Linked DNA regions of Cricetulus griseus. Each later gene encodes a partner of the first gene's protein in a complex. Links are inferred from orthologs where the notes say so. Each region holds a gene or a part of one and is shown in the gene's direction. Other genes may lie near its edges.

Region 1 (3,430 bases):
ACCTCCCTCCCCCCAATTTCATGTCCATGGTCTCTCTCCCTATATTTTGTTTTCTATTTTGGAGACAGGGCCTCAGTTCTAGTATTGCACGTCTGCACCACCATGCACAACTTCCTCTCCTTCCTATATCAGGTGTCAGCTCCTTAACCCCAGCCAGTGCTTTTCCACCCCACCTCTGGAAATTAATATGGTTTGATCTTCTTTGTCTTTAGTTTTTGACCAGTTGGATGTTGTTTCCTATGAGGAAGTTGTCCGGATCCCTGCATTCAAGAGGAAGACCCTGGTGCTGATTGGTATCTTTTCACAGTTTTGCTAATTCAAGAGCATAATTCTGTCCTTATTTCCATTCCTGTGTTATGTGTCCACCCTTCTTCAGGAAAGGCAGTGAGGAAGAAATGAAGTGTGGTCTCTTATATATTTCATGTAGTGTACTTATAAAGAACTCTGTAGTTTTTTGGGGGGAGAGGGGGGATACGGTGGCTTTGGAGGCTGGCCTGGAACTAGCTCTTATAGACCAGGCTGGTCTCAAACGCACAGAAATCCACCTGCCTCTGCCTCCCGAGTACTGGGATTAAAGGTGTGTGCCACCACTAACTCTGTGGATCTTACAAGTTTTTTTTTTTTTTTGGTTTTTTTTTTTTTTTTTTTTTTGGTTTTTCGAGACAGGGTTTCTCTGTGTAACTTTGGACCCTGTCCTGGCACTCGCTCTGGAGACCAAGCTGGCCTCGAACTCACAGAGATCTGTAGGGAAACACCCTAGCCCCGCCCAATAGTCCCGGACAGATGCCAGGTGGACCCGGGACTATTGGGCGGGGTTAGGGTGTCTCCCTACAGAGATCCGCCTACCTCTGCCTCCTGAGTGCTGGGATTAAAGGTGTGTGCCACCAACGCCTGGCACGAGTTTTTCTATTACTTAGAATCTAATTCTTTTTAGAGTAGGTTTGCTGTTTGTCCACCTTTTTGGATGGCTTACAAAATAAACAGAAAACTGCACAGTAGCTGGTTCCTCTATGGAAATAGAAATTATGTTCTATGTCTTAACTTTAAGGATACAAAGGAATTGAAGCTACTTGGTGATCCCAAATCTTCTTTGACAGCTCTAAGGACTCAGTTGCAGCCTGGGTAAAGCACCAAACTGTTTTTGTCTACTAGCCACTTTGAGCACCGGAATATAGAAATCTATCTTCCATTCCCTGTCTTGTCTCCACCAATGTCTCTGGGTAAAAGTGATGCAAGCCTTTCTTTATTCTTACACAGGAGCCAGTGGGGTAGGTCGCAGCCATATTAAGAATGCTCTGCTCAGACAGAATCCAGAGAAGTTTGTGTACCCTGCCCCATGTAAGTATTTTTCAGGTGCCTTGGAGGGGAACATTATGCCCTAAGGGACAGGCAGCAATGTCATGTTACTGAATTTAGCATCAGTATTTTTTGAAATGTCATGTGGTCTTGTACTTGTTTTATTTTAGATGTTTAATTATGAAAACTTAAATCTAGGGGCCTGGAAATATCTCTGAAATCCACATTGAAAAGCCAGGCATGGAGGACTGGAGTGATGACTCAGTGGTTAAGAGCACTGACCCAGGTTCAATTCTCAGCACCCACATGGCAGCTAACAGCTATCTATAACTTCAAGATCAGCAGCTAACAGCTGTCTATAGCTTCAAGATCTGAGACTCTCACACAGACATACATGCAGGCAAAACATCTATGCACATAAAATAAAGGTAAACTTTAAAAAAAAAAAAGAAAGAAAAGCCTGGCATGCTGGCATGCACTGTTAATCCCGTGGAGGTGGAGATAGCAGATCTATAGACTTCTTTGTAGTGTTCAAAACCAATGAGAAGACCCTATCTTTTAAAAAAAGGAACAGGTGTACAGCACCCAGGGAATGTTACCCAAGGCTGCCCTCTGTCCTCTGTACATGAGCATATGTACCAACACACACACACACAAAAAAACCCCTAAAAATTTGGAAATATAAACATGTACTTATGGGGCTGGGGAGAGGATTGCTAACTGACAATGTGAATTGAATCCCTAGAACCCACATGGTAGGAGAACTGACTCTCACAGGTTGTCTTCTAATTTTCGTATGCACATAATGGCATATCACACACACAGAGATCACAGAGTGTACTTACAATTGCTTGAGATAACAAAATAACTTTTCTTATTCTCTTATTCCATATAACAGTACTTGTAGTAAACATCGTTTTTTAAAAAATATTAAGGCTGGGTGTGGTGGCACATTGGGATCTCTGAGTTCAGGGCCACCCTAGTCTAGGAAGTGAGTTTTAGGACAGTTTTAGTACACAGAGAAACCCTGTCTTGAAAAAGAAAAAAATTAAGAATTAAATTTTATGTATATTGCTTTATAAATGATTTCTCAGGGTCCTCTACTGTCTAATTCAGTTTGAGGATTACGTTATAGTCCTTTTATGTAGGACTATTTTATAGTCCTTTTATGTAGATAGTATAGTTTGAATAGTGGATACACTATAGTTCTTGTGGCTATTTTACATTGTTTAATATTTAAGCTGCCTCTAGTGCTCATAGAATGTCTTTTAAACCAAAATAGTGCTTAGGGAAGGCCTGCTCAGTCACAGCAATAAAGAGATATAATTCTCAGAAGGGGTACTGCTAATCAAATTAGAAAACTAGGATGTGAACCTGATGTTATTTGTTTTCATTCTTTGTCTTTTTTACATATGGATCATTTATTGAAAGTTGCTCATAGGAACATAGTGAGAGTCATTCCAGTAGAGCAGAAAACAGATGTCCCAGGGAAGTCTACAATATATATATATATATATATATATATATATATATATATGTGTGTGTGTGTGTGTGTGTGTGTGTGTGTGTGTGTGTGTGTATGTATGTATGTATATATGTACATATGTATTTATACATGTATATGGAAAGAGCCTGAGATGCAATTGCAAGTTGAGAGGAAGGTAAAGGACATGGCTCATCAGAGGATTAAAAGAGGATGGGAATATACAATTTATCTCTGCACTAGAATGTTACTCTTAACATTTTAACTTTTAAAAGAATTATATGTCTGTGTGTGTAGGGGGTTGGGCAATTTATGAAAGTCTGCTTTCTTTCCACCATATGTGGTTCCAGGAATTGAACTCAAGTTATAAGCTTTCTGTGGCAAGTGCTTTTACCTGTTGAGAAATAATCAGAACCAGTATTTTAACAAAATGTTTAAACCAAGCCAGTGTGCTCTTCTTTCCATGTCATAAAAAAGAAAAAGAGCTGGAGAGATGGCTTTGTGTTTGAGTGCTTGCTGCTCTTGCAAAAGACCAGAGTTTGTTTCCCAGTATCCACATTAGGCAGCACACAATCACCTGTACCTCCAGATTCAGAGATCTGATGCTTTCTTCTGGTCTCCATGGGCAGAACATACATGCACATATAAACT
Region 2 (4,367 bases), on another chromosome or scaffold:
TCCCTGCTTCCAGACTGCTGATCCACTTACCCAGGGGCTGCATGCTCCAGCCACCAAGGCTTTCCCAGGAATGGATTGTGTCTTTGAACTACGAGTCAGAATAAACCCTTCCCTCCTTAAGTTGTTCTTCTTGGGATGTTTATCACAGCAACAGGAACAGATGAATGCGGAATTAACACCAGTATGAAACTTAGTGCTTAATTCTGGCAGGAAGCTCCAAGGCTGCCACTGGTCATCTTGATTGAAACGTAAATGGCTACAGCAACAGCTCTGAGCACATTAAAAGCCTTAAACATACTTCTAACCCTGATGCCCTGATGTCACAGGTGCGATGACAAATTAAGGAAAAATGTGAGATGAAGGTACTTCAATTCACATGGTGCATGCATGTGTGGAGGTCAGAGGTCAACCTCAGCAGCTGTTCCTTAGGCACCATCTTCCTTGATTTTTAAGACAGGATGTCTTGGTAACCTGGAACTCACGGAGCAACCTAAGCTAGCTGGCCAGCCAACTTAAGGAATCTACCTGCCTCCACTTTGCCAGTGTACAGACTGTAAGTGTGTGCCACTGCGTATCTGGGCTCTTTTATTGTTTAATTGATTAGGCTAGGTCTGGGAATGCCTATGAGCCAAGTATTAACACCCTCACTCCCATTCTGCTTCCTGAGTATTGATACAATGTGACCTGTGGTCTCAAGCTCCTGTGCCTTTGGTGAAAGGATAGACTGTACCTTCAAACTACAAACCAGAATAAACCTTATTTTATCATAGCAACAAGAAAAGTAGCTAAGGCACTCGAACTGAACTTTGATGCTTGCAAAGTGTCACACCTGTCGGGTGACACAGAAAGAGTGGAAGTGGAGGACACTCTATGAAGTAAAGATACACTAAGCCAGAAAGAGAGAGTCAAATACAAGTATTATCTGTCTTGTAAAATCTAAAATGGCATCTCAAAGTAGAAAAGTCCAGTTGCAATTAGTAGTGATCAACGACAGGTGGGGAAATACAGCAAGATTGGGTAAGTGGTACTAAAACAGAGATTGGCTACATACACACACACACACACACACACACACACACACACACACAAACACACACACACCCACCCTGAGTAGGATGCCTCCAAAAGTAAAAGATTGGTAAAGTTAGGAATGCTATTGACACCATCAGTACACAACCTATGTATGCCCTGAAATATTGTGCCATACCCTGTAAATAATATACACAATTAATTTTAATTAAGAGACATCGTTTTATGAAGAAGAAATGTTTAGAATGGTTCTGGCTGCACAGCATCCAAGCCAGGCTTGAAACTCTTGCCTGCCCCTATTTGGACAGTGCCCAGCCAGGCCACTGGGTCTCACGTGGGACTTTTCCAGAGCTCACACAGGGGAGGGGGGTGCGGCGCGCGGCGGGAGGGGGAGCAACCACAAGCTTTCTATCTGATACTGACAGATGGAAACAAAAACATGGGGGGGACTGTGAGCCTTGAGCAGAAAGTTAGAGCGCAGAAGAAAACGTTCGGAAGTGGGCGGGTGTATGCTTAAAAAAAAAAAAAAATGGGTGGGAACCTCATGGCCAAGTTGTAGAAAAAAAAGTTGAAGTGTGCCTATCTTGGGGCGGAGCCCCTCCCTTCTGCTGGCAGCGCGCGGAGTGGGAGCCCCAGGTACAACCGACAGGCAGGGTCCAGGAGCTGGGGACCCCCTTCGCCACAGTGCGCCCACCGCGTGTTTCCCCGCCGCGTGGCGATGAGCAGCCCCAGGAGCACGCCGCCTCCCCCGCGCCACGGTGAGTACCGGGACTGTCCCGGGTCCCCGCCTGACCCGGGCCGCACTGTGGCGCACCGAGCGCGCGGGGTCCGAGTCCTGCAACAGCAGGCCGCCGGGCGCCTTGGCCCGATGGATGTCCCCCACCCAAAGAGGCCACCAGCCCCGCGGTGGCGCGCTGTTTCTTTGTGTGGGGCTTGAGAAGGGTCCGGGACCAGAGAGAGGGAGAGGCCGAGCCTTCAGCAACCAGGCACCCCCCCAACCCCTCACCCCACCCCAGGCAAGTCGCCGCAGGAACTGAGGCCAACTTCGGGAAAACTCCAAAATTCTCTAACAGTTCTTTCTGGCCCACTGGCCCTGGGACAGGAACAGACTTTGTGGGATCCGTTCTCCTTGACTCCTTGAGATTATGAAACAACAAACAAACAAAACCTACTGTCTTTTTAAACGCTTTAACTTCTTGGTGACTGGAGCAATGAGAGTCTCCGGATGTAGGAAACATTGATGGGCCTCTTGGCGCCCTGCTCTCCTCTGCTTTGGTCTACTTTGGGGCTTTTGCAATCCAAAGTGTTGTTTTTAGAAAGAACACAACTCTTTATCCACTTTACCCCTCACCTAACAGAGGAATTACTCAGAGCCTACATGGTGTTCTCTATCACTATAATAAGTCAATAAGAGACCTTTTTAATTTTAATTTAATTTAATTTAATTTTGAGACAGGGTTTTATGTAACCCAGGCTAGTTTGTGGATTGGACCAGGCCAAGATGACTTTAAACTTCTGATCCTCCTGCCTCCAAACTATGTTACCAGGCATGTGGTAACACAGAGTTTATGCCGTACTAAAGAGGAAACTCAGGTCTCCATGCATGCTAGTCAAGCATGCTACCTACTGAACTATACCCCTGGTCTGCCACCACTGTGTTAAGTCCTGTAAATGTAGGCAATTTCAGGGCCCCTGTCTTGTGTGGCTTGGATACTTAGTTACCATATATTGATGGTCTGTGATTTTGTGCCCAGCCACGCTGTCGTGTATGTTGCCTATATTGGGATCATCTCTGTAACATCTCTCAGCTCTGGTTTCAGCATCCATGAAGTGAGGAATCTTCATAGAATATTTCTCATTGGATTGTAAGAATGAGATGCATATAAATGCTTGAGAGTGCAGGCTGAGATATAACACGTGTTTACAAATGTCTAGCACCCCAAGATGAAATTTATCAGAGAGTGTGGACCGCCAGAATCATGTGCATTTATTTCAGTCTGTGACTGATTCGTGTTCTTGTGTGTGAATGCATGGACACGTGTGTTCAGTTGTAGACCTTGCTTGGCCAACAACTGCAAACAGCTCTCCTCCCGGGCTGATGGGGTTACAGCCCTTGCTCATATAGTTCTCCAGATTACTGTCCCCCATTGGATTCTGGCAGGGTCCCTGCTATGGGAGACCCCTGGGGCCCTATTTCTTGCTGCTAACTCAGACAGGATGTGTCTATATCCTGTCTCCATGACGAAGCTGTAGCTACTCAGTGCCTGAGGTCGGAGCAGAGAAAATTTGTCGGGTCAGCCTGGACCCAGCAGGGTTTAGTGTTTCTTCTAAGCTTGATTGTCACCGTTATTGGCAAGTTATGCATGGGCAGTCTGGTGCCTTGCCCTTGGCTGAAAAGGGGTCACTGCTTAGTGTAGAGATGCCAGGTTTGGCAGCTTTATATAGAATTTGCTGTCGCTGGCAGAGGCAGAGAGGGTGACCAGAAGTGCCAAATGAAATTACATCTCAACCCTTGTGCAATCTCTCTAGATGCTGAGGACATGGGGAGTCTCGTGGGGCTGGCACAGTAAGCAGCTAGCCTTTCCCAGGGTACCCTTGTTGGGCAAGTATTTTAGAGGCTTGCAAAACACTCTGGGAAGCAGAGGATTATGGGGTAAGGGGCATTCTATGTGGTTGGCGTGTGTGTGTGTGTGTGTGTGTGTGTGTGTGTGTGTGTGTGTGTGTGCTTGCGTGTGTGGTGGAAGTAAGTAACTGCTTCCACCGAGAGTGGGGAGAGGTTAAGAAATCAAGTGGGTTTATCTCTGGGTGGCAGGGGCCATCTTTGTACGTGGAATTTTACCTGTGTGTGATTGTAGGAGCTCGGGATAAAGTGTCCTACACCAAGGTTTAATCTATGAGACAAATACTTTGTGTGTTTAAAATATTCTTAAATTCTCAGAAACTGTCCTCCTGAAGGTTCTGCCAGGTGTGTGTGTGTATGAGTGTGTGTGTGTGTGTGTGTGTGTGTCTGAGTTTGTGTGTCTGAGTGTGTGTGTGTGTGTGTGTGAGTGTGTGTGTGTGTATGAGTGTGTGTGTGTATGAGTGTGTGTGTGTGTATGAGTGTGTGTGTGTATGAGTGTGTGTGTGTATGAGTGTGTGTGTGTGTATGAGTGTGTGTGTGTATGAGTGTGTGTGTGTATGAGTGTGTGTGTGAGTGTGTGTGTGTATGAGTGTGTGTGTGTGTGTGTGTGTATGAGTGTGTGTGTGCACCTATTTGTGCTTGTATCAATGCAAGCCCATGGGCAGCCTCACATGTCATTTCTCAGGTGCTTTCCACCTTCTGTTTCGGGCAGGGTGTG

The links. The genes of interacting proteins can lie anywhere in the genome.
Region 2: the proteins of Mpp1 (region 1) and Gypc are in contact, whole or in part, in an NMR structure (PDB 2EJY), measured with the Homo sapiens proteins. The link is inferred for Cricetulus griseus from reciprocal best matches to the Homo sapiens genes MPP1 and GYPC. Residues at the interface, in NP_002427.1 of Homo sapiens: Pro81, Met82, Gly83, Ile84, Leu86, Lys87, Leu88, Leu100, Val130, Gln134; in NP_002092.1 of Homo sapiens: Arg123, Lys124, Glu125, Tyr126, Ile128.

The regions. Positions count from the first base shown.
Region 1 is NC_048604.1:732,785-736,214, forward strand, and holds part of Mpp1 (55 kDa erythrocyte membrane protein), read left to right. Parts: intron 1-212; coding exon 213-293; intron 294-1,257; coding exon 1,258-1,338; intron 1,339-3,430. UniProt on the Homo sapiens protein: Essential regulator of neutrophil polarity. Regulates neutrophil polarization by regulating AKT1 phosphorylation through a mechanism that is independent of PIK3CG activity.
Region 2 is NC_048595.1:204,836,579-204,840,945, forward strand, and holds the start of Gypc (glycophorin-C), read left to right. Parts: upstream 1-1,471; 5' UTR 1,472-1,747; coding exon 1,748-1,787; intron 1,788-4,367. UniProt on the Homo sapiens protein: This protein is a minor sialoglycoprotein in human erythrocyte membranes. The blood group Gerbich antigens and receptors for Plasmodium falciparum merozoites are most likely located within the extracellular domain.